Linked DNA regions of Styela clava. The protein of the gene in region 4 purifies or fractionates together with the protein of the main gene of each other region. This does not show direct contact. Links are inferred from orthologs where the notes say so. Each region holds a gene or a part of one and is shown on either strand. Other genes may lie near its edges.

Evidence for each region.
Region 1: the proteins of eukaryotic initiation factor 4A-III (region 4) and serine/arginine-rich splicing factor 1B-like fractionate together in Homo sapiens (co-fractionation; 4 studies listed by BioGRID and IntAct, with this or other methods). This does not show direct contact. The link is inferred for Styela clava from reciprocal best matches to the Homo sapiens genes EIF4A3 and SRSF1.
Region 2: the proteins of eukaryotic initiation factor 4A-III (region 4) and nuclear cap-binding protein subunit 2-like purify together in Homo sapiens (co-immunoprecipitation; 3 studies listed by BioGRID and IntAct, with this or other methods). This does not show direct contact. The link is inferred for Styela clava from reciprocal best matches to the Homo sapiens genes EIF4A3 and NCBP2.
Region 3: the proteins of eukaryotic initiation factor 4A-III (region 4) and uncharacterized protein LOC120331224 fractionate together in Homo sapiens (co-fractionation; 3 studies listed by BioGRID and IntAct, with this or other methods). This does not show direct contact. The link is inferred for Styela clava from reciprocal best matches to the Homo sapiens genes EIF4A3 and RNPS1.

Annotation. Positions count from the first base shown.
Region 1 is NC_135257.1:13,133,129-13,140,241, forward strand, and holds serine/arginine-rich splicing factor 1B-like, read left to right. Parts: upstream 1-4,498; 5' UTR 4,499-4,641; coding exon 4,642-4,799; intron 4,800-5,030; coding exon 5,031-5,239; intron 5,240-5,334; coding exon 5,335-5,507; intron 5,508-5,577; coding exon 5,578-5,829; 3' UTR 5,830-6,599; downstream 6,600-7,113. UniProt on the Homo sapiens protein: Plays a role in preventing exon skipping, ensuring the accuracy of splicing and regulating alternative splicing.
Region 2 is NC_135252.1:23,083,284-23,090,559, reverse strand, and holds the start of nuclear cap-binding protein subunit 2-like, read left to right. Parts: upstream 1-4,255; 5' UTR 4,256-4,385; coding exon 4,386-4,660; intron 4,661-5,508; coding exon 5,509-5,647; intron 5,648-6,080; coding exon 6,081-6,197; 3' UTR 6,198-7,276. UniProt on the Homo sapiens protein: Component of the cap-binding complex (CBC), which binds co-transcriptionally to the 5' cap of pre-mRNAs and is involved in various processes such as pre-mRNA splicing, translation regulation, nonsense-mediated mRNA decay, RNA-mediated gene silencing (RNAi) by microRNAs (miRNAs) and mRNA export.
Region 3 is NC_135255.1:4,593,734-4,600,918, reverse strand, and holds the start of uncharacterized protein LOC120331224, read left to right. Parts: upstream 1-4,185; 5' UTR 4,186-4,270; coding exon 4,271-4,356; intron 4,357-7,185. Other genes in the region: uncharacterized protein LOC120331194, read right to left, coding at 1-83, 275-379, 564-634, 1,050-1,118, 1,458-1,556, 3,579-3,692. UniProt on the Homo sapiens protein: Part of pre- and post-splicing multiprotein mRNP complexes. Auxiliary component of the splicing-dependent multiprotein exon junction complex (EJC) deposited at splice junction on mRNAs.
Region 4 is NC_135260.1:7,932,626-7,940,460, reverse strand, and holds the start of eukaryotic initiation factor 4A-III, read right to left. Parts: upstream 3,011-7,835; 5' UTR 2,936-3,010; coding exon 2,770-2,935; intron 2,230-2,769; coding exon 2,157-2,229; intron 2,036-2,156; coding exon 1,906-2,035; intron 720-1,905; coding exon 587-719; intron 446-586; coding exon 312-445; intron 1-311. Other genes in the region: uncharacterized protein LOC120347980, read right to left, coding at 7,170-7,835. UniProt on the Homo sapiens protein: ATP-dependent RNA helicase. Involved in pre-mRNA splicing as component of the spliceosome. Core component of the splicing-dependent multiprotein exon junction complex (EJC) deposited at splice junctions on mRNAs.

The DNA.
Region 1 (7,113 bases), on a different chromosome or scaffold from region 4:
TATCTACTTAAACCCTAACCCCAAATCCATCAAAACTGCATTCATAGGATAGGATAGGATTTACATATTTATCCCGGGGGAGAGGAAAGCCGATAAGACGGCTTATCCATATGGCGAACCACGGCCTCTCGTCCGGTTACCATTCCAAGTCGGGTGTGGGATTAGTTATATATTGTTTGTTTTCGGAAGCATGGACTTGGTGGTAGAGGAAGCCGTGACCGACCAGCGGTTACGTGAACCACCCAACGACGGCGAGGAGTCCAGCAATCCTCTCGCACATAACCATTCCTGCATGGGATTCGAACCTGCGAACCCACGCAGAGTAATTAGAGGTGCGGTGGCGAGCGTATTCCTAACGCTTAGCCCGTTGAGCCACACCGCCGCGCCGGTTCATAAGAAAAACGTTCCAACCTACCCAATATTTGCCACCATAAGGGACAGCCCTGTCTTTACGGCCCACCTGCCGCGGTTACGGCAGCAAAATTTCACCTGCCATTGGTTTTCAATTTGCTGCCGCGGTAACGGAAGCTCGTCATTGGTTTGTGGCAGCTAAAAAGTCAGTCGCCAATCGCCATCATTGAGGTTTATAGGTTTGGTCGTAGCGGCCATGGTATGGAAATACCGCTATGATTTTGCGGCAGCTGCAGACGCCACAGAATACTTAAAATTGCACTTGCCGAAATGGCATCTCCCCGACGATGGCGAACTCGATAACTCCAGAGATCTCTCTCATATCGGGATCGTTGCGGGAAAAGGAGAGAAACAGCTTGCTTTATTTCGGGTGATCCCATTTCCAGAGAGCCTCTGTTTGTTTTAGCTTCGTCCAAATTGACTATAACACTTTTTAGTCACTTTGGCTTCGTCAGTCTGCTAATCAGGTTTTGTTCGTCAATTTGTTTGGAGTTTGTTACCGTTTTATATTTTATCAAGGTAAGTTTAGCATTTTTCTTTTGCTATTCGCCTAGTGGAACAATACTGGTATCATGCGGTTTCATGAAAGTTGCGATCCGTTTGAGTTATGCAACTTTGAAACCTCATATCTCCCGAACCTTATATTATATTGAGACAATCTAGATTCTAGGAGTAGGAGACTAATTATAATCATAAAATGGAGATAAAATGTCGCAATTAACGTACAGAAATCGGAAAATTGAAAAGCGTGAATTTCCTTTTTTCGAAAAGTCTTTGAATTAAATAACAAAAACTTCGATTCGTCCTTGTTTCAAACGGTATCATTAGATTGAATTTATCCTGCATCAGTAAAATTTTATTCAATGTTCTCATAATCTTCACATGTCCGCTGCGCGAACTTCGAACCTATTTGTGCGTCTTTGCAGCACATTGGATCTTCTGAACTAATTATTACAGTATTACTAGACTGTATTAGCGGCGAGCACCTACCGGTAATCCGGTTAAGTCGTACCCTTGCAAATTGAATTTTTTTTTTTGAAAAGTCTTTGAATTAGATAACAAAAACTTCGATTCGTCCTTGTTTCAACTTGGACCTTGTTTCGGATGGTATCATTAAATTGAATTTATCCTGCATATTTCAAACGGGACATAACCCTAAACCTGGACACCATTATATTATAAGGATTTTTCCCAATATCAGTGGATTCCCGAAGTGCGAAATAAAACCTAGTTTTCTTCAATCTAGTCTAGTGCCATATTTATGTACATCTTTTAGATGAGTAAAATAGTTCCCAATAGCAAGGGGAGGAAACCATTTTCATGGCGATGCATAAATTTTGCTATTTCCAGAGTATGCATTTCTGAGAGCTGTAGAATTGTATGCTGACAGTAAATTTGAAGGTTGGTCGCGCGACTATTCTCAGCAAATGATATACACCTTAGTAGTTTGTAGAACTTAGACTGACTGTAATGAAGGGTTAGATGCTGATCACCCAACTAAGAATTCCATATTGCGAGCGGCACGTAGCTAAAAAAAATATTTAATAGAAATGATGGTTTGAACATGTAAAATAGTTTGTAGAGGCCAACTCGCTAAAACACTCCAAAATAAGTATAATTTTGCAATAACGAAGATCCATTTATGGATGGTGTAGGACAGGGTTTTCCCAAAATAGGGTCCGCGGACCACTGGAGGTCATCGACGACTACACAGAGGTCCGCCGCAGTATCAAGTGTCTGAAATATAGGGCGACAGCTGATGCTGATGACCATGTATGGTCATATCGCCCAGTCTATATCGAACAACTTTGTTAATACTGTACTGTACATCAGGGGTGTGCAACCTGCGACCCGCGGGCCAAATGCGGCCCTCAGGGAAATATTGTGCGGATCACGAAATGAATTTTGAATAGACACAAGACGAGTCCACAATCAGTCGGATTCGGCGAATCCGAGTAAAAAAGTAATGGACTCGAGACGAATCTTTTGAGCTCGTTGATTCATAATCAAAATGTGAAAAATACGTTTTTGACTTTATTGAAACAATGCGCGCGTGTACGTCAGCCTTTTTTCACATCATCTTGTCAAATTGAGTCATAGGTAGCTGTAGAACTATTTTAGGAGTATATTTCACTCATTTTTGGCCACAATATAACATTTTAAGCGTCTATTTAATTAACACAGCTGGATTATAATGTCGCGTTTCGTGACCATCTGGAACCAAAAAAGCCGAAATTCGTCAATGCCAATATGAACTAAAATAGCTCCCCGTCCCCGTAAATTTTGCCGTAGGCCGTACAATATGGAGATATAGAAGAAGTTATATTACTGAGTTGCATTTAATTATTTCTCACGTTCAGACACATTCTCACCACGTTTCAATTTTTGTCCCTGATCCACAGTGTTAATTTTTGTTTTCACATATATTTTGAAAGTTTCGATATAAAGTGCTAATTATTATCGTCAAAAACTCATTGAAATTAGTTGAGTAACTTAGTTGTCAACTAATTAAGTCTCATTTTTGGAGACATCGCATCAATTTCCATCACATTATTCTAACCGCTTTAGGTTATATTTTATTTAACGAATGCCGCCCCTCTTTGAAAACAGATATGTATAACATTGAAGTTACTTAAGAATCCTCTATGTTTGTTTTGGAAACTTGTAAAAATATTATTAAGTTTTGCCACTAGTCATCTTCCAGTGTGAATCTTAATCACATCAGTGCATATGGTGGGAGCTGACGATATGGTCGTATCGCTCCCTCCTGTCCATGCCGAAGCAATTTTATTGCTGTTGCTATTTTATTGATGACTGCATTTTTTGGCTGATGAAACAAAAAATCTTTATCTCTCCCAAGTATCGCTTGAGCAGAAGGTAGAGATTTGCCACTTGATTAGATCATACAATGTCATAAAATTTCAGGTACAAATACTACGGGAGTCACTTGGCTAGTCCCGAACTCGTAATATAACTAAAATAAGGAAAATCGGAATAAAATTATGGACTAACCCTAACCTGGTGCTATACTATCCGCCACATCTTGGTTCACATACTTTTGAAGTACCCAATTTTGAACAATTAAAAAGCCTTAATTTTTAAAAAGATAAAAAAAAATAACGATATATGGTTATACATATTGATCTGCTCAACAACGAATCTAATAATTATTATATTTTATTTTTATATCTCTTTTATCATTAACTTTTTTATCACCCATTTCAAAAATTTTGATGATGTCATAATATATTTTATATATCTTTGAAAGCCCGAATATGACTTCATAATGCATCCAACGGTGTTTTATGACGTCATTGTTAAAATTGGGCCTTACAACTGGTATAGCCTTAGAATCCGGCCACCACAGTTCATAGCCATGGGCGTTCTATGAGCCAATCCTTGTTTTCGGAACAATGACTTTACAGCAACAAACCACTTTACAGTAAAAGGTTTACGGCGACCTAATAAATAATATTTAACCAGTCGCTCATATCAAACATGTTATGCAATAACTCTTTTTACGTTCTATTCTCACTCAAGCATATTTTTAACGTCCTAAATATTGACTTGTTTTAGTGTATTTTTGGATTTTTTGCTGGTGTTTTTCTTCTCCCAAAATTCAAATAGGATATTTCATATTTTTCCCCGAGACAAAAGAACCACGAAATGATTTAATATGAAATGACAAATTCGTAAATTATTTGCATGTATGTGTGATTCGATTGCATTTTGAAATACGCCACTCGCCGTGTGCTTGATATGTGGATGGCGAGCAAATTAATCTCCTCATTTTGCTGTATTCATCCGCATATATTTCACTTGCCAGATTTTCTTATGGTATACAACAACAAGTGTGACGATGCTTGACCAAATATTATATTTGATAGTGCCAAAATAGGTAAAAAATACATACATAAGGCACAATCTGTATTAGTTTATTTTTATCCAAACAAAAACGGAATTGCGTTCAAATACGCTGACCAGCAACCGAAAAGTACCACGTTGTAAACTGACAACAGCACACGAAAGGCGGAAATGACGTTTGCCCTGCGGCCATTAAGAAGAACACAAGTTTCTTTCTTTGTGAGGCAGTGGTGCGAAATCACTTTGAGTTTCTGCATCGTCTTCTTGTTCACCTATGTTGTCTTTAAAGTATATCTCCTTTTTTGTAACAAATAATTGGTCTGCAGGTTTATACTTGGAATAAAATTGATTAAACATAAAGAAAATATGAGCCGAGATAGCAGAGTGTATGTAGGAAATCTTCCTCCTGATGTCAGAGAAAAGGATGTTGAAGACCTTTTTCACAAATATGGAGATATAAAATTTGTTGAATTGAAAAACAGGAAAGGGCCACCATTTGCATTTGTCGAATTTAATGATTCCAGGTACGGTACCATATGGCTGTATGTATAGTCTACTACCGTACCAGAATACTGATTTATGAACTTTTTTTTATTATTTTAACTATGCTTTCATACTGCAGTACTGTATTATAATCATGCTGTATTAGCTTTTTGAAGTATTTAATTTTGCAAAATCGGTCAGTTTTACTACTTTGCTAGTATAGTAGTATGCATACAATCAAGTCGATAATATTTCATGAATTTATTTACCAGGGATGCAGAAGATGCAATCAGAGGGAGGAACGGATATGATTATGATGGTTATCGACTTAGAGTTGAATACCCTAGAGGCAGTGGGCCGCCAATGCGTGGTGGCGGTCACTTTATGGGTGGTGGTGGCGGCGGTGGTGGAAGATATGAACCTGGTAGAGGCAGAGGAGGACCTCCATCCAAAAGGACAAACCACAGAGTTATGATCTCAGGTATATATTCGTTGCTTTGTACCTTTTATCACATAAACAAGAAGTTTTTCATTTGTAGAGAATCCAGTCTTATTCAGGTTTATGTTTATATTCAGGTTTGCCGCCTACTGGAAGTTGGCAAGACATAAAAGATCATATGAGAGAAGCTGGTGATGTTTGTTATGCAGATGTATTCAGGGATGGAACTGGAATTGTTGAATTTGTCAACAGAGAAGATGTGAAGTTTGCTGTCAAACATTTGGATGATACCAAATTCAAGTCTCACGAAGTAATTAGATCACAAATATATTTATTAAAGTCTCTCAAGCATATTTTACTAATGGTGTTTTTGTTTTTAGGGAGAAGTTGCATACATCAGGGTCAAAGTTGACTCTTCAGCTGGTGGTGGTGGTGGTTCTAGATCACGCTCAAGATCCCGATCTCGGTCCAACAGTCGAGGTCGTAGAAGCTTTGGAGCTCGTGGGGGTGGTGGTGGAGGAGGACGGTCTTCCCCTTCTTACAGCCCTCGCCGTCGATCTTATTCTCGCTCACCAAAACGACGTCGTTCTGCGTCTTACTCTCCTCGTCGTTCTCGATCAAGATCTCGATGATTTTAAATCAAGTTTTTATTTTTGTATATCAGTACAAACTGCCCAGTTAAAGTTTGATAGCATGTAAAAACATGCTGCGCATTTTATGAAAATGCAAAGCAAATTGTGTATACAAAATAATTCTCGTACCAAGCTGAATAACATTTTTTTGTTAATTTGTCTAGAACTTGGATCATCCATTACTGGAGATCATCTTGTCTAAAGAATATAGGATATCGTGAAATGGAATCACATGTCTTCAATTGGACTAGGATACTGAAATCCCTGGATTTTGGAATTTGAATATGATTGTAGCATTGGGAGGCCCGGAAGGAATTTATTTTATTTGATGTTTGTGGTTCCCTATCCAATCATTCTTATTAATTCTATTTTTGTTTGAAATTGACAGATCTTTGGATCCTTTTTGCGAATGGGGATTTGCCGCTAGTTGGATAGGATACCATTTCTTTGGATGGATTAGGATCCACGTTTGAAATTATGGAATCTGGAGAAAAAGGATTCTTTAAACTGTGCGCATAGGATTTGGATTTCTTAACGTATTAGGAATGAAAACATTTTTCGAAATTTAAGTATTGAAGGCTTCGTTTTGGAAATAGCATCATTGTTTCGGAATTTGGAGCTTCTGTGGAAAATGCTGGAATTTATTATCAGGAGTAGGTATTTGGTCGCTTTGAAACTAGTGCTAATCCCTAAGCGGTAATTTTAAAGTTATGGATTTAAAAAGTAGTGTTTTTATTTGTGAGATTTCTAATAAACCAACTGAGGCTGCAGTTTGAGACTTTTGAATTAGGATTGTTGCTGTGTACCTGGAACAATTGAGCCATGTCTTGAGTCTTAAATCTTGCTATCTTATCTTGAAATGTGGTAGTCTTCCTCTATTTGAACCTTTCTGGCATTTATGTGGAAATCACGATGAGCGCGCTGAGTACTGGGATACAGTCAGTGTTTGTAATATGTTTTTGTATGCGATTTATCGTTCAATCTCGCTCCAAGCAGATTTGTGGTAAGTATACTGAACTGAGTTGTATTTTATGTATAAAACCGGACAAGAAGAGTAGGATTGCAAAGCAGTTGTGGAAATTACTAGAGTTTCCTAACGTACAATCCCTTGGAAAAGTTGAAATTGACTTTTGTTTCTCAAAATTGCCATTACACAATCATAGAAAAAGTGGCTTGTGGTTTTTTTCAGCATAAAATTTCCAAATTCACCTAAGCAAGTTCGAATTTATACAATCTATGGTTTAGTCATAGAAGATCGCAACATAGGTGCAAAAGTCTGATTTG
Region 2 (7,276 bases), on a different chromosome or scaffold from region 4:
AATTCGACAAATTTGGGCCGCTCTTGCAACACTTACTCCGCTCTATCGCAGGTCTGTCCCTGATTCTTTTTAACGTTTGAAATTTCCGGACAAAATACGAACGATTGAAATTTTTTAACTGCAAAAAAATTGATTGATATACTTCACAATAATTATCATCGCCACATAACGAGAAAAAGTCGCATGCGGTTCCTGCGGTGTTTTCAGAATGGGTAAAAGTTACATCGCGCGCATAATTGACCGTGTTTTGATTTCAGCGACTACCGTATAATTTCCGAAGAAAACCTGACATAACGCCAAATTTTGTGATTTACACGTTTTTAATCTGTCGTGGGTCTGCTAAAACAAAACTTATGGTCTTATCTTCCGTTTTATGTTAAATTTTAATATTTTATAATGCCGCTTTTCAATCAAGAAATTTGTTTTTCACACTGAACTTACAATTCCGTACGAGAACAAAAAAGTTTTTATCGTCGTCCTTGTGGAACAATACCTGCATATGCCAAGGAACTTTTGTGATTTGGGGAGAATAAACACCGCTGTACTACGCAAATAAATGTTATTCTTTTCTGTTTCGGTCATTTCAATTTTTTGCCGGTCCGCGAGTACTTTTATTTTAATTTTACTGGTCCACCAGGGTAGAAAGGTTGGGAACCACTGACGTAAACCACGGTCTAAAAAACAATCGGCGATTTCAAAATATACAATCGCACACGTTATTAGCAACGGTTTCAGTCTACCAAAAATATCAAAAGGGAAGGAGTTCGACCCCGAATTTATTGATATGTTTGTCAAGTGATAAAGCCCTAATACAGTCATAATATATATAATTTATCTGGGAAATTCAGATTTATTCATGGCTTGTATTAACCCTATTAAAAAAGATTCAACATTCAAATTAAGTAAAGTAATTTTAACTTACTCAGGAATATTAATCGGTAAGTAACACTGTGTTTTTTTTTATTGGTTTTTAAAAATGTTTGTGGGGCTGTGAATAATAGTCAACCTCTACAAAGGCTCTGTAGTTTGAGAATCCCTGGGCCTAAACTGATTAATCTTTTGAGTTTCGATTCAATGAACTAATGAGCAATAATTATATGTAATGGGATTGTTAGTGTCTAGGAAAGAAGAAGAGATTTTTCACCATTAACAAGTAAATATATATACAATATTGAATATAAAATCCGCAATTCGGATCATATCATTTTTGTTGGGATCAGTTTGTAAACAAATGAAGGTCACCGAGGCTTCTCATTCACAACGTTAATTTTTTTTAAGCATTTATGATAGGCTACGGTAAGAGTATACTACCCGAAATTATGAGGCAATTTTAATATAAGAAAAAAATGAGTCGGCAATAATTCAGAGAAGCTTTATGTTGTCAAGGTCATGTGAATGTTATCTTTAGATGTCTGTCAGTAGTTTATTTTTGCACATACTAAGAATACGGAAGTTTACAAACAGTAGGATAAAATATAAATAATGTATTTCAGCGTGAAGGGAGACGATAAACCAGTCATGGTTATCGAGCAGCGTCATCTAAATGGAAAGGGAGAACTGATGGGCACTGTGTTAAGGGCAAGCTCGCCTTGTACTTGTGCGGATTCAGCAATTGTCGGGCCAATGTTTTTTTTTCACGAATCCGTGTCTTGTGGGCTTTGCCCTGATGAATTTCCAACGAAACTGATTGTTTTTAAAAACGTGGCCAATAGATTCTCTTCATGAATCAAACGAAAAGTCTATAAGTATGTCAAAAAAATCAGAATCAGGCTGACGAAACGATTCAATTTATGCTACGTCGTTCTTGTTTGTTTGTGGGTAAACACACAACTGTTCAGGATGTTTGAGTATATTTATGGATATAACATAGACATCATAGATTGCAATACTTAGCAGCATGCAGTACGAGCAAGAGAGAGCGTAAGCAAGCAAAGTCAACGGTGACAAGTATAGCATTAATAATGAGGTCATAAATATCATCTTACAGTTCTCAATTTTGATTACATTACAAGCATGAGAGCGATGCTCAAATAAATAGACACGAAAACCAAAAAGAAGCAGTAGGCCTACTCTACCATGGAGGATAAGAGTTGAGTTAGGATATGCGTAGGTTTCCTTCTATTAAATTCTCTTTTCTGTACTGTACTGAGAGTTATGTTTTTATTTGCACCAAACCGTTTTTCAGTTTACGCTTAAACCTAAAAGTTGTAGGCACTGAAATATATTTAGGCGCACTGTGAAATCTATTTTTGGAAATACGGGACCCCAATAATTTCGAAGATTTTATACGAATCTTCGGTGAAAATAGTTGAGTAGCTTTGGTGTAAAGAAGCCGAGATGTCTGCATGCATATTGAAGTTTTTGGATCGGTAGTTGTTGCCAGATTTAAGTTAATTTTATGAATGACCTTCATTGGCAAATGATCAACATTACAAATTCTCAAATGTAAACTTTTTAAATTCGAACCAATTTTGTTACACAGCAAAGGGCAACGCTACTAGTTTTATGTTTGTTGTTTACTTTTTAGCTTTGTCTATTTACCAAAAAAATTGAAGCTAATCACTCATTATTAGGATTCGCATTCGGGCGCAGGCACCTTTGTATAACTTCTAATTGTTTTTATATTCTTTACCACTTTCGCTCATCAAAATTATTTACAATTTTACAAGTGGGCTTTGCCCGTGAATTTTATTTTCTCGTCTTCATGTACGCTTTTCATTATTGCATACCCGATATAGACTGGTAACCACGCGAGTTACCGGTTCGTCACACTTTCATTCATAATCATAGAGGAGTCCAGCAATCCTCTCGCACATAATAATCCCCTCGGGATTCGAACCTGCAAATGCACGCAAGTTAATCAGAGGTGCGGTAGCGAGCGCTTCAGCTCAACACGACGCGCCACACCGCCGTGGGTAATAATTCCAATAATGGTTATGGGATAACCTATGCGGACTGATAACCGAACGAAGGGCTCTAGTTAGCTGTATTACCAAGCAGTCTATCGACTTTTTATCCTCCCGAAGCAGGGCTCGCCAAGCCTTTTTAATGGTGGACCCCTAATTTTTATTCAAAGTGGGCCTTTTCCCCCGAGTGTTTCTTGGAAATATCCAAGTTAAAATCACTTGCTGTCTTGATAGAACTATTTAATTTTGATGCACTCAATATTATTACCCTGTACAATTTTGGACTAGTCACCTGGGGGTCCATCTGAACCACGTCCGGAATCCCTGTCCTAGGGTCTAGGCTAGGCCGTGGCTCGGCAACCTTTTGTAGCTCGCGGACCAAAATTATGGCCGCATATTTTTTTAGAAAAATAAAAACCGAACGAATGGCCGATAAATCACAATTTTCACACAGACAGAAGTGAAAATTTTAAATTTTAAGCAGCACGCAAAAACCGAGACAACTCATGAACTAAACTTCGTCATTTTACTTTCAGAAAAAAATTTACTATTGACATTTAACGTGACACTTTTTAATGCATCACGCTTGATACGTTTTCGACATCACACTAATTGGGAAACATTTTCAAATCGGACACTGGATGAAACCAAGATTAAAACATTTTATATAAATGGGAATCACTCATCCGAGTTTTCTGCTTGTTGGACACGTAGTGGACATAACGATCGTTTCAAAATTTTGTTGTTATTGTTATTATTTGTCTCCATCAACACGTTTTGAAGAAGTCGCTTTTCTCTTCGAATACTGGACCAATTGCTTTGAAATTTTCATTGGTTCAAGATAAAGGCTATTACTTTTTTTTCGCTATGACGTCATCAAAATTATGTGAGTCTACGTGTCCATATATTTGAGCATAGCTCTCTTGTTTTTTGTTATGTTCATTTTCGAAAATAATTGTTCGCATGCATATGTAGCCTACTTCCAAAAACATCAATGTGAATTTTTTCGCATGGTTAATTTTGTTGTTAATTTTGGATAGAGTTTTCCTCAAAGAAAATACTTTTTTATAAAAATCAACCAGTGATACACCTCTCGAATAGAATATAGATTTATTTCCCCAATGCGTTGCACCTCAAAAAGTCCATTTGAATACTTTTTGCGTGTTAGGTCATATTATAATTTAGTCTACACGTGACTCACAATAAACTCTGTTACCTAAAAAATATAATCGTCAAAGCAGCCGTTTTGTATCTATACTTCAGTGGAGCGTCGCGGGCCGAATTATTTCACTTTCACTTCAAGCCCAAAGCATGCCCGAATAATTACGAAGATCTTGGGTCAAAGGTTAGAGTAGGCCCAACATTTTCTGCTAACTTCACAGAGGTGTAGCTGCAGGGTTGTGAAACTGTAAACGCGTTTTCTCGAATATTTTTAAAATATTGTTCATTCTCACTATTGGAGGAGTAACACTTATTAAAATGGATGTGGATATAACGGAAAAGACTATTTTAAGGCCTGTAGCCAAGGATCCTTACGTAGAACTAACGCCGTACCGCGATCAGCATTTCAAGGGGAGTCGTGACCAACAAGACAAGCTTTTGAACCTGACTACAACGCTTTATGTTGGGAATTTATCATATTATACAACAGAAGAACAGATATATGAACTCTTTGGAAAATGCGGAGATATTAAACGAGTTGTTATGGGTTTAGATAAATATAAGAAAACGCCATGCGGCTTTTGCTTTGTTGAGTAAGTAAAGTTTTTTTGTGGGGTATAGTCAATTACACATCGTTTTCTCAAATTTTCAACAGTCATTTTCTTGGAGCCCTAGGAAACAAGATACGAGCCCTCTGGACTTCTTTCTTTAGGGTTATATAAAGTATATTGTGTATCGAACAAATAAACGGGACATGACCAACCTAAAACATATAATTTACAGGTCTGGTATAGTTTAGTACCACATGCACTTCTAGTTGGCCTGGCTCAACAATTTTTGCACATGTCAATCCTAACCCCCGCCTGACTACGTCACCGAAACATTACGTCATTTCGACGTCAAAGTGGCGTAAGAAGGCCCACCAAAGTATGCGGATGGTCGTCCAAAATGCGCAGACGATCACCCGAAATCGAGGTAGGAGGGAGATAGCCGGCGTTAGCGAGTTCGTTATCAGCGTCGCAGATGCCATTTCGGGCGATCTCAATTATACTTTGGCAAGCTCTATGACATGATGGTGACCTCGTCGTAGTGGATGGCATAGTCAGGTGGGGGTGAGGAATAACATATGCAAAATTCGTTATGCTACGTCCATTGGAAGTACTTGTAGTACTAAACTATACTAGACCCAAATTTCCAGTGCCATTGCAATCATTGATGAGGCTATGCTACAACGAACATGACAGGAAATTAAGTACCGTCTGGATGTGCTTTTTATAACTGATGGTGCCCGTATATAAGTGTATTAAATGTGTCAATAACAATTTTATGAAATACTGATTAACATAAAACAACCCTCATTGCGATATCTCATCATTTTACTATGTAATAATTTTTTTAAATTGTTAAAAAGCTTTATGGACACCCTGTACATTTATTTCAGATACTACGCAAGAGATCACGCTGCTGATGCCATCAGGTATATAAACGGAACGAGGCTTGATGACAGAGTTGTGCGAACAGACTGGGATGCTGGATTCAAAGAAGGAAGGCAATTTGGAAGAGGAAAATCTGGTGGACAGGTATGTTTTTTGCAGTTGTTTTGTATATTACAGAGGAGTAAAGACAGAGATAACCAGCACTTAATAATCCACTTCTCCAAATTCATTCTGAAAAAATGTTTCCCAACATCTTGGGTAATGCTTGCTACTTGCTAGGTAAATTCCTCAAATTAAACTCAAAAGCATGAGTCAAAATGTGGGTCTAAACTTGTGTCAAATAAATTTTCAATTGGTAATTTAAAAAAGTTGATTTAATTTATTTTTGGGTAGGTAATGACATCGAAAATCTATGCTGAAATGTTTTATCTGTGTCCTATCTGTGCAGTTTATTTCCTGATCATTTAATATTGAAGCTTTCAATCACAAATTTAATATCTTTGGAAAATGCACATTTCCAATTGTGCACGACTAGACTTTTTATGATAAAATTACATATTTATGTTTTTGTCTTCAGGTTCGTGATGAATACAGATCAGATTATGACCCAGGAAGGGGAGGATTTGGTGTCAGAGCTCAACTAAAACCAAAGAATCCTAACAAGTTCGGACAGAAAAATCAACAACAAAACTAAATAATCTTTCATGGCTGTCTGTGCCCTCTGTGGCAAGAGAAAAACTCTGCGAAGTTGTCGGATAACTGCTGTTACTCCATGAAATTGTACTTTTTATTTCCACCTATTTGGACAAAAAGCCATTTTTATGTAAGTTGGGTTGCAGCCACTATAGAATTATCTTGAAAACAAGTTATCTTTGTACGACCATATCGTTATCGTACGACCAGGGATGACCATTACCAAATTGTTTATTATTTTGAAATAACTTATTTGAATATGGCATACCGGAGGAATATATTCAAATTTGTCACCTTCAAAATTTGGTCCAAACATTTTAATGTATGGTAATCTTTTCACAACTTCTGAGTTTGAATTGAACTAACCTCATTTTTTGTCTGACAGTCTAATGGTATTTGCCAAAGATGACAAATTTCAACATGGAGCCCTCCTAAATTATTCCTGGAATAAAAGAACCTAGACATCCTTAATTAATAGAAAACTGGCAAGTGCATCTCTACACTAACAAATATTTGCAGCCTGGAGTTTTCATCAAATAACGTTCATGTTGGACATAATAAATATCCTGCTTGGAAGCAGGGTCAGAGTTTAGCATGTTGATAATTGAGTCCGGGCTGTATTTTCAAACGCTCTGGAGTCTGAATTCCCTAACGTCTAAATTTCATTCTCTCAATCGTAATTTTACTTAACCCGATCGGAGTTGTAGTCAAAATTATTTTCAAAAGCAGTTTGGAGTTGATTGTAAATTTGTTCCAGACACAAGCTTGAGTCAAAAAATAGCGTAGTGCTGTAAACTGGGCTTTGATGAAATCTGATATTGGGCAATATTATTCAAATTTATAATTAGCAAATGCCCATGTTCAAGGTTACTCTAATAACCCAACATGACGGAGCCTTAACTCCAGAAAGAACATCATAGCTGGTCGGTCATGACTAGTCACTTGTAACTGATGACATCGCTGTTCCTGCATTGGTTGTTTTCACAAAAATTAATTTTTATTACGACTTTTTCATTTTTATTAGTGTATTTCTCAAATTGGAATTGCGGAACTGAATTGTGCACAAATTCATTTCACAAA
Region 3 (7,185 bases), on a different chromosome or scaffold from region 4:
CACCGTGAGAAGTCGATAATGCAGACGCCAATTCTCCAACATTCGTTGTAGAGAGTTTTCCGACGTCGTCACTACTGGTATTTCTGGAATAATATTAATAGCCTGATAGTTTATAGAAAATTATTTTTTAATTATGAGCAAAATGCCATTTTGTAATTAATAAATATCAAAAATCACTCTCGAACTCAATAACTCTTTCTCGGCCATTGATAAAAAGTTGTGATATCTGCTAATCTATCATGGCCTGTTTAGCTAATTTTGGCGAAACTCTAACCTCGAGGTTGGCAATGCAACATCGGGTATTACAGGTGGTGGGAAAAGAGCATTGTCCTCTTCTGAAAATTTCTCACGGACCTGCTCGTCCCCGGACGTAGATGTTCTGCACAAAAATCATTCATATAAAAAAAAATTATTTTAATTTCTGAAATAATATATTTATATTTTTGCACAGATCGCAATCTAATTGAACTGTTAGGCTGCATTTTATCTAAACTGTATGTATCATAGAAAAACAAGGCTCTCTCTCTGAAAGAGGTCAGTGATTGTTAGGGCCGATTGTTTACCCGATTCCGGTATGATTCTTTCCATTTTCTTGAATCCCGGTATCGTTCTGAGTCTTTTTAGTATTTGGAATCTGTGTACATTAATTATTAAACAACATTCATTCGTGGATTCATGCATTTGGAATTGATGGATGCCAGCAAAACCACGATAGCATCGCACGTTGACTATTTCAGACTGAAACTGATTATTAACAGTCTAACGAATAGTGGTTGAATAAACATATCAGACCTTGGGACTTGAATAGAAAGCTTGAACTCGGAAGCGATATGCACCACGCCATAAAAATTGTTATTTTATTTGTGGTATTACGACCATGTTGATTCATCATAACACTGTCGCTTGAAGAGGGGGTGATGGTTTTCAGAATGCATATCGATGTAGTGATTTGAAAAATTAACTCTGAAGTGTTTCGTAAAATAAACCAGATTCCATATATCGCAGAGCGTTATTCTAACCAATAAAAGACGATATATATACCATAATACCTTGTCGGCCCTGTGAGCATCCTCGTCCACGATGTCCACGGTCGACAATTTACGGCATTGAGAGAATGTCTGATAGAAGTATTTAACATGAATGAATTGAACTGAGAGTACTTTGTCATATATAGGTATTGTAATACGAAATCAAGGATTCACCCACAAGCATATACATGAACACATCATAGGCCTATACATACATTCCAATTATATGTATTCTATTACTTACAAATTCATCGTGACCACGGTTCTGTTGGTAAAAGTGACTGATATAAAGTATCATGTTGCATGCTTTTACATCAGAAAAATATCCGATAGTATTTGGATTATACAATCATTTATATATATATAAATCATACATATATATATATATATATATATATATACTTTTGATTACATATCTTCCGGACTCACCAAGACTTTGTTAGCCTTCACCATTCCTCTGCCGAACCATGAAGCAAATGCATATATACAATGCACCGCAGTCAAATAAGATGAAGCTTCATCTTGTTTCTAAGAAATTAATTTAACAAAATTGAATAATGTGTTGCGAGAACGTTAATATTCAAGAATGCTTTCTTGATATCATTGAATATGTAAAACGGGCCTGGGAACTAGATTTAAAACTCCGAATTTTAAACTTCGTGGGGCCGTTAAGTTTCCCGTCATTGGGTGGAGTAGTGACATCAAACCAGAAGTCGAGAGTCGTAATTTCTCCCGGAAACGACACAATTATCATAGCCTACTCTTAACTTCTGTTATTACCTAGTCAAAATATGTATTACCAGTCGAGTTAGTAGTCGCTCCTATTCGGGATGGGATTTACTAGAAGCCCAAATAGAAGCAGTGATTCTGTCCTACTCCAAGTACGCGTATTTGATACATACTTCTCGATTGAGACTCATAGTAGCACATAAAAGAATGAAAATGCGATTGGGATGGACGATATCCCTTGCGTAACGACTGCAAAATTTCAGTGTTTGAAATTTCAGTGAAACTGTTCACCCTCTACAGGAGGTATAGGAAAATCGCTGGTATGGCCATGGAGAACAACGGCCAATTAAAAAATTGTGGAATATCAGATTGATCTTTTAATTGACGAATATTCACGGAGGCATTAGAGCCTAATTCTTTTATGCGTTTTATACGCATTCTACTCTGAAAAAGGATTATAGTACTGATAAAACCTTTACTTCAGCGATTTTCCGGATAGAAGATATATATAAATATTATGAAAGTGATGTTGACACAGTCAAGTGATCTGTTCACTGAAGTTGTTCAAACTCTGGGTTCTTACGCTTCTTTTCAGCTTCTACACTTTGCTTCATCATGCCGAGCCACCAGCGTTCGCGTTCGGCTCACATATAACTTACTGGTTTGTTAGTGTTCGATAAGTTTGAAGACATTCTGATGTTCACGAAAATTTTATGTTTATTTCGATGTTAATATCATTGGATTTTCATTACCGCCATTGCTGATGAACGAGCGTGTTTAAGGCTCAGTCCACACTCAAAGAGCAAAATCTGCACACGCGAGGAAGAGAAAGCAGCGGATTTCTAATCCGTCGTGATGGGTTCAAACTTTGAAAAGTTTTGAGAATTTTTGAAAGATCATGGAGAGCAAAAATTGTAAGAATCTGTAGCCATTTCTTTTTGTTGAATTTCACAAATTTTGTATAGTAAATAATATTTTTATTGGGAAAACTCAACTAAGACATGGTAAGCAATTCATTTGATTGTTATATAGGCCGCCTTGATTCTGTTTTAAAGTTGAAATATAAATTTGCTTGCTAATCCGTCCAATGAGCATATATACAATGAGTGGAAACTTGCAAAGATTTGCTCATTATGGCATTGTTCCCTGCATTTTTACGTCGTCCAGCTAAATGGTTCGTTGCATATTAAGAAAACGCGTTGCTCGCTGCCAAAATTCCTTGCTTCAGCCGAGTCGGGTGCGAATTTGGCCGTATTACCTTGACTTGAGGTCTTTAATTCTTCAATACATATTTGATTTTGGGTTTCGAAGTATGGTACGCTGAAAGCATACAACTATGAGCCTATGCTTACTGGAGAGAGGGATTTTGGCAGCGAGCAATGAGTTTTCTCCATATGCAACGAACCATTTAGCTGGACGACGTAAAACATGCAGGGAACAATGCCATAATGAGCAAATCTTTGCAAGTTTCCACTCATTGTATATATGCTCATTGATCCGTCCTAACACATAGCCATATCAGACAGTGGCGTATCTAGGGTATCTTTATTACTATCTTTATCAGTGTTTCCCGGTCTGATTTGACTCGTGAGCATTTGATAAATATTCAGACTACTGCTCGCTATCTTGGAAAGATCTCTCGTGATTGGTGTAGGTGTGCCAACCCACCCCTATTGGTGTTGCACTCGAACTCTGCTTCACAAATGCGGCATATGTACACTTGGCATTACTTTGAGCCAGAATATAATTTCAAGTTCATCACTTCTTACCAACTTATTTGACTACATTCATTTAGTTAGATCGAAAAATAAGTTAACTTACTTCAGCGGAAGATTTTCTAAATCTTCGCCCTCGCCTCTTTCTCCCGCATGACACCCTGTGTCCTTCGTCGTTGTCTTGGGTAACGATACCCACTTTGTTTCGTTTTAGTGGCATATTAAGCAAGCATGCTGCCAAAAATACCGAATAAAATGTCGACTTAAGCAAAAAGTTACAATTACCCCAAAATCGTATACTTATTACGTCACAATAGGACACGGGATGTTTATGCCAATCAGCAGTGACATATTTATCAATCATATCCTGAATGTCAAAAGGCTTTATAAGGTTTAGGTTTGAGTTGAGTGAAAAACTTCAGGTAACACACTCCATTGGTATGCGAAAACAATGAAATATTGTCTTTCTCGGGGAAAAGACAGGCTTTTCAGATTTTAAGTTCAATTCATCTCTTCTATATTGTTGTAAAAGGGCATTCCTTTTATAATGTGGTCATCTGCTGTTTTGATGTAATTTAACTTATTTAGCTTTTTGTTTGATAATATTGAATCAATTATTTTTTCCTCTTGCCATGAAATTAGCCTAAATTCGTGCAAAGATGATTGAACTTTCTGCTTCGCCGCACACAAAGGTCGCATTGCTACAAGCTTGTAGCTTTACCACTTTACGAAGCACAGAAGCAAGTATTCGGCGCGAGCACGTTTTGCATATTTGTTTGTAAACACTTTGATAGCATAATGGCACCAAGTCCAGCTCGAGGGCGTGAAAAAGCAACGAATGACACTACCGACGGAGGACGAAAAAAGGCTAGATCATCTTCCAGGTTAGTGCGGTAGACTATTATCAGACTACGGTACGGTACCGGTACCGGTATGTTACAAAAAATCTGCATCCAGTCTGCAAGATTTGGGGTCTGGTATAGTTTGGTACCACATGCACTTCTAGTTGGCCTGGCTCAACAATTTTTGCATATGCCAATCCTAAACCCCACCTGACTACGTCACCGAAAAATTACGTCATTTTGACGTCACATTGGCGTAATAAGGCCCACCAAAGTACAGTATGCGGATGGTCGTCCAAAACGCGCAGATGATGACCCGAAATCGAGTAAGCTATTTCTTTCGTTTTCACGTCATAACGATCACGATGTATGTATGTACTGGTATGTTTATTAGTCTCGCCGGCGTAAGCGAGTTCGTTATCGGCGGCGCAGATGCCATTTCAGGCGATCGTAATTCTACTATAGCCCTATGACGTGTTTGTGACGTCGTATCGACATATTTTTTGAATGGCATAGTAAGGTGAGGGTTAGGATTAACATATGCAAAATTCGTTTTGATACACCAACTGGAAGTACTTGTGGTACTAAACTATACTAGACCCAAGATTTGAATAAAAGTCAAAATAGGGAAATGATATCAAGTTTGTGAAAAATGTCCAAGAAATAATTGAGATTCCATACACAGTATATACCTATACGGTACGTTACCATTATCCAATTTGGCAATCCTCGTAAAACTATTAATATGGGGTGGCAAAACTTTATTTTATTTGTTTCTATATTTTCACTTTTTCAAGTACCGGTAATTGATTTTATGTTTCGGCTTTTTTTTACTTCTGATCTCATCATGTCTCCGTGATTGTGTGTTTGTCTGGTTTGTGTGTGTGCATGCTCTAATTACAGAATTAGTTTCAATACTTTTGGGTGAGCGAACACGTAGTACTTCTTTTAACAAGACCTTTCCATCTGTACGTTTCAAACATTATTTCTGTACTTTAGGTTTTGTTTGCTCTCCCGATTCTATAATCAGTTTTATTTATTTTGTTTTTGTAGCGTACCGGCAATGTATGAAATAATTATCCAGGTTCAGAATATCTTCTAATATGATCTGACGTCAAGTTTTCTCTCAATAGTCCAAGTCTTTATGCTATTTTATGTCATTTATTAACAACTCGAACAGTAAACGATCCAAAACAACCAAACACTCCCAAAGGAACGAAAAGCATAAAATAAAAATAACAGATACCGGTACCAGGCAGTAAAATGCAAGAAAGACCACATACACAACAAAAGCACTGACAAAACCTGAAATCCAAGACAACTCTGAATAAAAACCAAATGACCCCTAGAATCTGGTACAATAAACTAGCTACTGCAATTTGCAAAACAGGCCGAAAGTAACTTATGACAGGCATTTAAAAAGACTATGAACAATTCTATAGGTGCACAACATTTGAACAATACTGATGAAAGCTAATTCCACGATAAAACTGAAAATACAACACTACGGTAAATGAACTGTAATGGCACTGTACTGGTAAAAACAATAACATGGTCCCTACGTCAGCCCACTGTCCAGCACAAAACATCCGACAGTCACACAACACAGACAAACATCCCTGAAGACCAGAGGCATTCACACAGACATTCAAAACCCACCAATCTAACCGAAACACTCAGACGACCGCACTCTGTATGTGATCCAATTTGTATTGCCAATTACCTTAACAATTATTTCACCACCATAGGCCCGAAACTGTCTGAAAATATTCCCCATTCTAATGATTCTTTTTTGAATAATCTCAAGAATCCAGTGAAAGATTCCTTGTTTCTTAGACCAACGACAATCAATGAAGTATTTACCACCATAGCAAGTCTTCCTGATGGCAAAGCAGTGGGGTATGACAATATACCTGCCAAATTTTTAAAATACGCCGCTGATATAGTGTCTCCCATGCTGTGTAAGTTGTTTAATGCCTCCCTAGACCATGGTATTTTTCCCAATTGTTTGAAAATTGCTAAAGTCACACCAGTGTTCAAAGCTGGAGACAAAGAATGTGCAACCAACTATCGCCCCATTTCAGTTCTTTCGACTATGACCATAACATTCGAATTCGAAAAACTTTTGCATACCAGACTAACACAATTTATAGATCGAAATAGCATTATTAATAAGTCACAGTTTGGTTTCCAAAAGAAGCACTCTACTAATCATGCAATACTAGATGTGGTAACTTACTTTTATGATAAATTAGAGAAAAGGGAATATATCAGTGCAATATTTCTCGACCTAAAAAAGGCATTCGACACTGTCGACCATCACATATTAGTTAGAAAGCTGAGCCACTATGGCATTCGCGGTCATGCATCAAAATTCTTCCAGAGCTATTTATATTCACGTCAACAATATGTCAAAATAGGATCAAATTGCTCCGAACTTGCAACTGTACAATGCGGAATTCCCCAGGGCACAATAATTGGCCCATTAATGTTCGTATTATTCGTCAACGATCTTCCTCATGCCACCAGATTATTGGTCAAACTCTTCGCTGACGATACCGGGTTATTTGGAAGTTCAGTCTCGCCAAATGACTTGCAAATACACATGAACTCTGAAATGCAAAAAATTGCAACGTGGATGACTAGTAACAAACTAACTATAAATATTGAAAAATCCAAATCACTTCTAATTAATCCCCAAAAAAATGAAAGAAGTGTGCATTTGATTAAAATTACTATTAATGGTATATTACTTGAGAATGTGAACTCATACAAATACTTGGGTATACACATTAATAACCAGTTAAAATGGGCAGCTCATATTAACTACATTGCTGGCAAGCTTGCTAGAACAGCAGGTATATTATTCAA
Region 4 (7,835 bases):
CATAGCAAATGGACATAGTAACTGTGACATCACAGACAATTTCCAGGAATGCCAGTATTCAGAGAAGAGTTAAGTACCTTTTTCAATGCAATGCAAAAAATTCAGAATGCGACTTCTGCAAGAAAAGTCGCCCCTCACCTGATCTAGATAAATAATTTGGGTAACTAGGTCTATCGATCAGAAAAAACAGAAATATTTTATATGTTATACATAACTAAATATCAACACCTTAGTTCTTGCGTAAGACTCGACAATCAAGAAATGTTCTATTATTTATTGGAAGCAAATTTTCAATCGAGTAAACAATTAACCTGTATGGCTGGTGGAAGATATCTGTAAACATCATAAATCTGTTCTTTAAATCCTTTGTTTAACATTTCATCTGATTCATCAAGAATTAGAAGTTTGATGGCACGAGTACGAAGATTTCTTCTTCTTATCATGTCTAAATAAAAAATGTTTTGTGCTGAATAATTGCAATAATAAGTTTCATTATACAATATCACTGCTACAATAACAACAACAACAACTTATCTAAACAATCCAAAGGTTCACTTCGTGTTCAAGATTAATATAAACTTCTAACCAAAAACTCTTCCAGGTGTTCCAGATACTATGTGTTGACCATAATCAAGTTTTCTGATGTCCTCTCCAACGTTGGTTCCACCAATACAAGAGTGACATTGAACGGACATGTAATCGCCGAGTGCAAGAATAACCTAGAAATAAAACTTGTCTTGATTATAAACAAATCATTGAACGATTAAATTAATAAGATTATGGTAAATGAAATCTTTTTGAATAACAAACATGCTTATTTAAATTTTTAGACTTTATTAGGTATTATTTAACTCTTGGACCAAACACAAACAAACAAAAAAATTAAATTTACTTTAAAATCTCTTATTCAATGTTTGGATGCTTTTTCGTTATTTAATAATAGCAATAAGGTCATAGCAAACTAGATTAATTTTTTTTCTACTCAGTGAAAATATAATTAACACAGTTAAGGCTTCTTCTATAGGTTGTATAGGTACAGCAACGTGCGCTCACAAACATACGCAGTAACTCGTATTTTTTGCCTAATAGTTCTGCAGATAGCTGTTGAATCATTTTAGAAATATATTTTCCCTCTTTTTTAGCGGCCACAATACAAACGTGAACGTGGGTCAATATGCGCCTTGGTTATGAACCGGATTTCCAGCCCATCACCATCCGTTAATTCTGGGCGGCTATTTAGCAATTCTTACATGTCATGTCAATATGAAAAATAAAAAGCTTTTGACTGCAATGCTTCCCCATAATTCCAGATACTTCTAGCTGTACACTTACTATGTCGCAAGCGCAAATGGTGGAGAGATGCCACTCGTCAATACAATGAGGTACATCTGCTTGCAATTTAGTAGTACATATAAAAGTTCTAAAATTCTACATGCTTTCATTTATTCCTTTTTAGGGAAAAGATTGCCTGTAATAAACTCGATTTAAAAGAGATATTGATGAAATCACTTGGGGATCCCTTGGGTTGATCCAGAGTATGTTTCATTTTTAGGCGAATCAAAAACTCAAAAATATTGCGCTCACACATATTTTAATGTACACATGTATACCAAAAAGGATAGATAGTTTGAAGGTGACTGGCGCGACATCATACGAGGAAGATTGTTGCAGATCTAACAACGAATTTTAACCAGTTAGGGTATGTACTGTGATTTATAGAGGTAAAAATACAAGCATAGGTGCAAATTATTATAAACAGAATTGGTTATAGACTCGGTAAAAATGACGTGGACTCGAAATCCAAAGTCCAAAAAATGCGTGGATTCGACTCTAACCCGAGCCCAGATCGAAATCTTGGCCCATCTCTAATGAAAAGTTGTCATATTCTACTTTGTTTACACTCACCTTTTGTATTTGTTGAGCGAGCTCTCTAGTTGGAGCAAGAATAAGAGCTTGCGTTTCTCTAATTGAAGTATCGATCATTTGGAGACATGAGATTGAAAATGTTGCTGTTTTACCAGTTCCAGACTGAGATCTAAAAATTTTATTTCAGTATTTTCAGTTTAAGTCATCACTTTAGTACAACATTTATAGGCAATAGGTAATAACCTATATTCAATATTGTTACACAAAAAAGACAACAAAATAAAACTTACTGAGCGATCACATCCCGGCCTTTCATAATTTGCTTGATAGCTCTCTGTTGAATGGCTGATGGTTTCTCAAAACCTGAAAAAGTCGTCTGATTAGTGAGTAGCAGATTTTACAAATCAAAATAATAGATAGCTTTCGAATCACTACTCAACCATTGCTGATTCTACAGGGGATCATGAAGGAGCTAACTATATCAAAATCAAATTCCAGAAACCCATGTAAGAATGAACACAAAAATTAAAAAGAGAAATTTGTTATAAATAATCAAATGAATATAATCTTTAGGCAGATCTATAAATGCATGGGATAAAAGAAAACTAGTTTACACTTCATGTTGTATTTCAAGGCTAATATGTTACCATTACACTGTTTGCACCAGGTGAACCAGATTCCAAAAATCCAAGTTTTGGAGAACTTGTATAAAGTCCTACTCCTTCCCACCAAGTGTTCAAAAATTTGTATACAGATAGTAATGTTGTTAAGTTTTAATTAACCAATGTGAGTTGGAAGAACCTGCATTTTGATTAATACCAATCAATCTTAACAGAATTGCTTTGTATTTAAATGTTCATTCAAAATCCCAAAACTCAAGTTTCAAATGATTACCCCACATACCATAAGCATAAATTCCTCTCAGAAGATCATCCCGTAATCCCATTGAGTCGAATGTTGGAGTGACATCAACTTCTTCGGATGTTTCGAATTCAACCTTACTCAAATCATTATCACCTCGACCTCCAACACGACGTTGGACAGATCTTTCTTGATTTCGACCTGCCATCTCAGAATGCTCCAAACTACTCAACTATAGGTTAATTTGATTTTATCTGAGAACTGATATATGGTTGTAGCTTATAGTGTAATATTTAGGATGGGATTTACACATTTATCCCGGGGGAAGGCAATAAGGAGGCTTAACCATAAGGCGAACCACGGTCTCTCGTCCGGTTAGTAGGTATTTCATGTCGGGTATGGGATTAGTTTGTTATGTACCTGATGATGGAGGAAGCCGTTAACTCTGTAATTGGTAACCGTCCAGCGGTTACGTGAACCACCCTACAGCGGCGAGTAGTTCAGCATTCCTCTCGCACATACCTTCCCCACATGGGATTCGAACCCACATAGAGTAATCAGAAGTGCAGTTGCGAGCGTATTCCTAACGCTTAGCAGAATCTGACAATGAGCGGCAGTCTGCGCTGTTTTCCTACTCTGTAACTTCTCTATGGTTGTGTGTGTGTGTAACTTATTAATTTCAGGTGATGAACACATAACACTTCTTCTTGGTAAAACATTCCATCTTATATTCTGTACTGCTGTACGTTTCAAACCTTGTCTAAGGTTGCCTTTGCTCTCCTGATTTCATAATCAGTTTTTATTTATTTGTTTTTATCAATCATTTTATTGCCTGTTACGCCTGTACGCTGATTACCCATACCGTATAGCTGTATGGAGTGGAAATGAACTTATAAGGTACGGTACTTATATACAAATCAGCATGAGGCCAGGATGTTAAATTGGGATAAATTCTATACCGATAAGTTAGTCTTAAACAATACTGCAATAACAGCAACAACGTAGTAATACTGTAATAGTTTCAGAAATAATGTTACCGGCAATACAGTAATATTTAGGCCTATAGTAGTAGTAGTAGTGGGAGGCGAACAACTCGACTACTCGGACAACGCACCAGAGACAACTCGACGACCTAGAGGCCTGGTGAGTTGTCAGTCTTTTGGCATTTGGAAAAGTTTTTAATATATTTAAAGATGCTCATTCAAAACATTTAATACCAATAAAGTTCAAAAAATTAAACGAACACAGTCCTATAAGTCAACAGTCTAACTTCGCTAACCTCCAATTTCGCCTGTAGACTGTATTTGTATTCATACAACATGATCAAAATAAGCCACTCATACAAATAAAAATGCTTTCTAGAGCATATTTATGTATTTTTCTCAACATTTGAGCACTAAAAATATCAAAAACGCATTTCTATAGACCTAAAACACCACCGTAGAAAATGCCAAAAGACGACAACTCACCAGGCCTCTAGGTCGTCGAGTTGTCTCTGGTGAGTTGTCCGTGTAGTCGAGTTGTCCATCAGCCGTAGTAGTCTAGTAGTAGTATTTTATTTCGTCAACATGTCAAACAGTTTACATGCAACATTTCAAAATTAAATTCAAGGCATTGTGACGATGATAGCAATCTCGTAATACATTAATAGGCATTTTTATGCTGATGCTACAATGCAGAAACAGACTAGAGACTACTAAATGCCGGTACTGGAATACTCTACCACAGTACCACAATAAACTGATAAAGCTGCTAAAAGAACATCAGTTTCAGTGTATGAGGCAAGTTCAGGCAAAATCAGAGGGCAAACATCAGTCCAGCAGTCACAATACTGCAATAAGTTCTAAGTTTGGAATATAACATGCCGACATATTGACATAAACCAACATGCCAGTCCGATAGTACTATCAGAATATTGCGCTTGGGATTAATATAAACCTTGAAATTATTCCCGTATGGTCAGACGGTACCGTACCGGTACCGGTACAAGGTACCGTACGGTAGCCTCTCATCAAGATAATTACCATACCTGAAGCTGGGGAACCAGCAACATTGCCTATTCACTCACAACCTCATCGTGCACAACCTAAACTTCTGAGTTCTGGCTCACGGCCCCAGGATTTGCTCTTGAATTCGAAATACATGAAACAATAAGAGACAAACAAATGGCACTGGAAGAGGTTCACCTGAAAAATGGCTATCATGCAGCTCTCGGGCGCCGCATATCGAATAAAAGAATAATGAACTTAAATCGTTTCAATCAACAAAAAATTATCAAATCAAAAAATAAAATCTAGTTAAGTCAAAAATTGCGTCAAAACCAACATCACACATATCTCGTTTTCCCATCGCGGAAAATTCATTCAAATCATAATGGCTTTGCGCCCCAACACGGTTTGGTCTGCAGCAACCGAAAACATCTGCCGCAGCAGGCCCCCTAGATTTCGAATTTAGTGTATTTTCAATGGGTAGATCCACCAGATGGATTCCTAGTCTCTTTGTGCCAATATTATTACGGTATGTGTTTTACCGTTGAAACCTTCACCAGCAAACAGGCAACATGTTGCTATACATTTCTTAGTAATATTGGCATTGGACAGGCTTGATGTCAACAGCCAGAATGCATTTGTATTGGGATTTACACCGTGTTGGAAAATTTGTTTGATACTTTTACCATGTTCTGTTTTTCCTTTTTATTGGTTCAAAAGGTAATTGTGAACACCTAACATATTGCCTCTTATGCTGTTAATTTGCTGCAAGTCACTGAATGATATAAATGTTGGACATTTGGTCCAAACAGTTGAAAGTCTGCCTTTCAGAGTAGACGTAGAAAATACTTCTGCCCTTGTACCAATGGTGTAACAGCCGTTCTTTGTGACCTGGACGACACCGACTGCACACTAGATATTTATTAACAGTTCAATAACGCGGTCTTTCAAGCCCCAAGTTTGTATCCTCAATCCAGAAAATCACACAACTCGAAGTATACAGTTGACACGGTTAATCTTAATACAAACGTAAAAACAAATCAATACAAAATACTTGCAATAAATAAATAATCATACACAATTCGGCCTTTAGAAAGCCTACTCAAATTTATGCACACAATTATCAAACATCGTTTATTAAGTCGAACCAAATTACTATTGAATAACTTGCAGCCTTCAAATCAGAAAGAGTAACAAATTATAACATACCGAATTTGTCTGCTATTCCAGGCTTAAATTATCATAAGTTGAACATGAAATCATTCGTCAATGAAATCCGAACAAATTAATTAAATAAACTATAACTGTAAAATCAATCACAAAAGGCCATTTAATGCTCATAAAATATCCCTAAATTAGGCCTAGGTGGGCAGCCATAATCTACATTATTCAATCGTCCTACAGTCAAAACAGAAAGCCAAGGTCGCTGAACAAGTTTAACTTATTTACAAATTACAACGAAACGAGCGCCATTCTCTGCAAAAGTAAAGCGCTATCTAAAGCAAATTACCGACACTATCCCTGTCTAAGCGAGACATGTCTGGGCAAGCAATTGCCACGAAGACTCTCTCAATTGTTTCGTAACAAAGTGTGTGGAAGCACACTGTCAATCAAGGGAAATTACGGCGTCAACAATAACAAATAAATTACTACACAAGTTAAACGGACGCAATGTTTAAGTCAATACAAAAATCAAGTGAATGCGATTCTCGATGTAACATTCCCCCAGCCAGATGTTGGAACCCAGTGAAAACATCTTACTCACAAATTTCTTACATCGAGGATATCACACACTTGAAAAAATTTTACTCATTAACTCTATGAATCAAGCACAGCTTTGCAATTGGCCTTCTCAATAAACCCCTGGATGTCTTCACAGTAACTTGACGCACAGCTCCAAGTTTATCAGGTGTAGTTTCCATAACACGTCCAGTCTGCCACTTCCCCCTGGGTATAGTATTGTCTACAAGTAGCACAATATCACCAACTTCCATATTACGTTCTTTAGAGGTCCATTTCTGTCGTGTCTGAAGTGTGGGTAAGTATTCTTTGGTCCATCTGATCCAAAACTGATCAGCTAAATACTGAATTTGTCGCCATCTTCGTCGAGTGTAACAGTCCTTTTTTGTCAAATATGCCAGGAGGTAAATTACTTGTAGGATTCAGTAACAGCAAGTGATTTGGAGTGAGTGGCTCATCATCTTTCGGATCGAAACTTATTGGAGTGATGGGTCTGGAATTCAACTGTGATTCCACTTCACAAAAAATAGTAGCCAAAGCTTCATCTGACACCAACTGATCGTGTAAGAGAGCAACCAAAATCTTTCGAACTGATCGAATTAATCTTTCGTAACATCCTCCAAAATTAGAAGCAGTAGGTGGATTGAATTGAAATTTAATATTCTCCTGACGCAAAAATTGTCCAACTTTGCTTGAATTCCAAATTTCTATCTCCTAACGTAGGATTTTATTTGCTGCAACGAAGTTACTACCGTTGTCACAGATGAACTTGAATGGTCTACTTCTACGTGCAATAAATCTTCTTAACGCATTTATGAATGAATCTGCATCCATCGAGTATGCAACTTCCAAGTGTACGGCACGAGTTGTCATGCATGTAAATATACAGCCCCACCTCTTGACAGTATTTCGTCCTTGCTTCACAAGCAAATGTCCAAAGTAGTCCACTCCAACATACGAAAATGGTCTTTCAACTGGTGTGACTCTTTCTTTCGGAAGATCTGCCATAATCTGTTTACTCACAGGTGAACTTCTTCTTCGACAAAACATGCATTTTCCGATAACAGATTTCACCATAGCGCCTCCTTTAACAATCCAAAATCGTTGTCTCAGAGAAGCCCATGTACTCCCCATACCAGAATGATGTGTAGATACATGATGTTCTCTTATAATCATCTCAGTTACATGATGTTTATGTGGGAGTATAATCGGATGTTTAACATCAAAATCAACCGGTGCATTTCTCAATCTCCCACCAACTTTGATGAAGCCATCTTTCATAATCGGATTGAGTTTATGCAGGAAATTTGCAATCTTCAATCTCTTAAGTACTTGTTTTCCAGATGTACTTCTGTGATTGGCTTTCTGCAGGGCATCAAT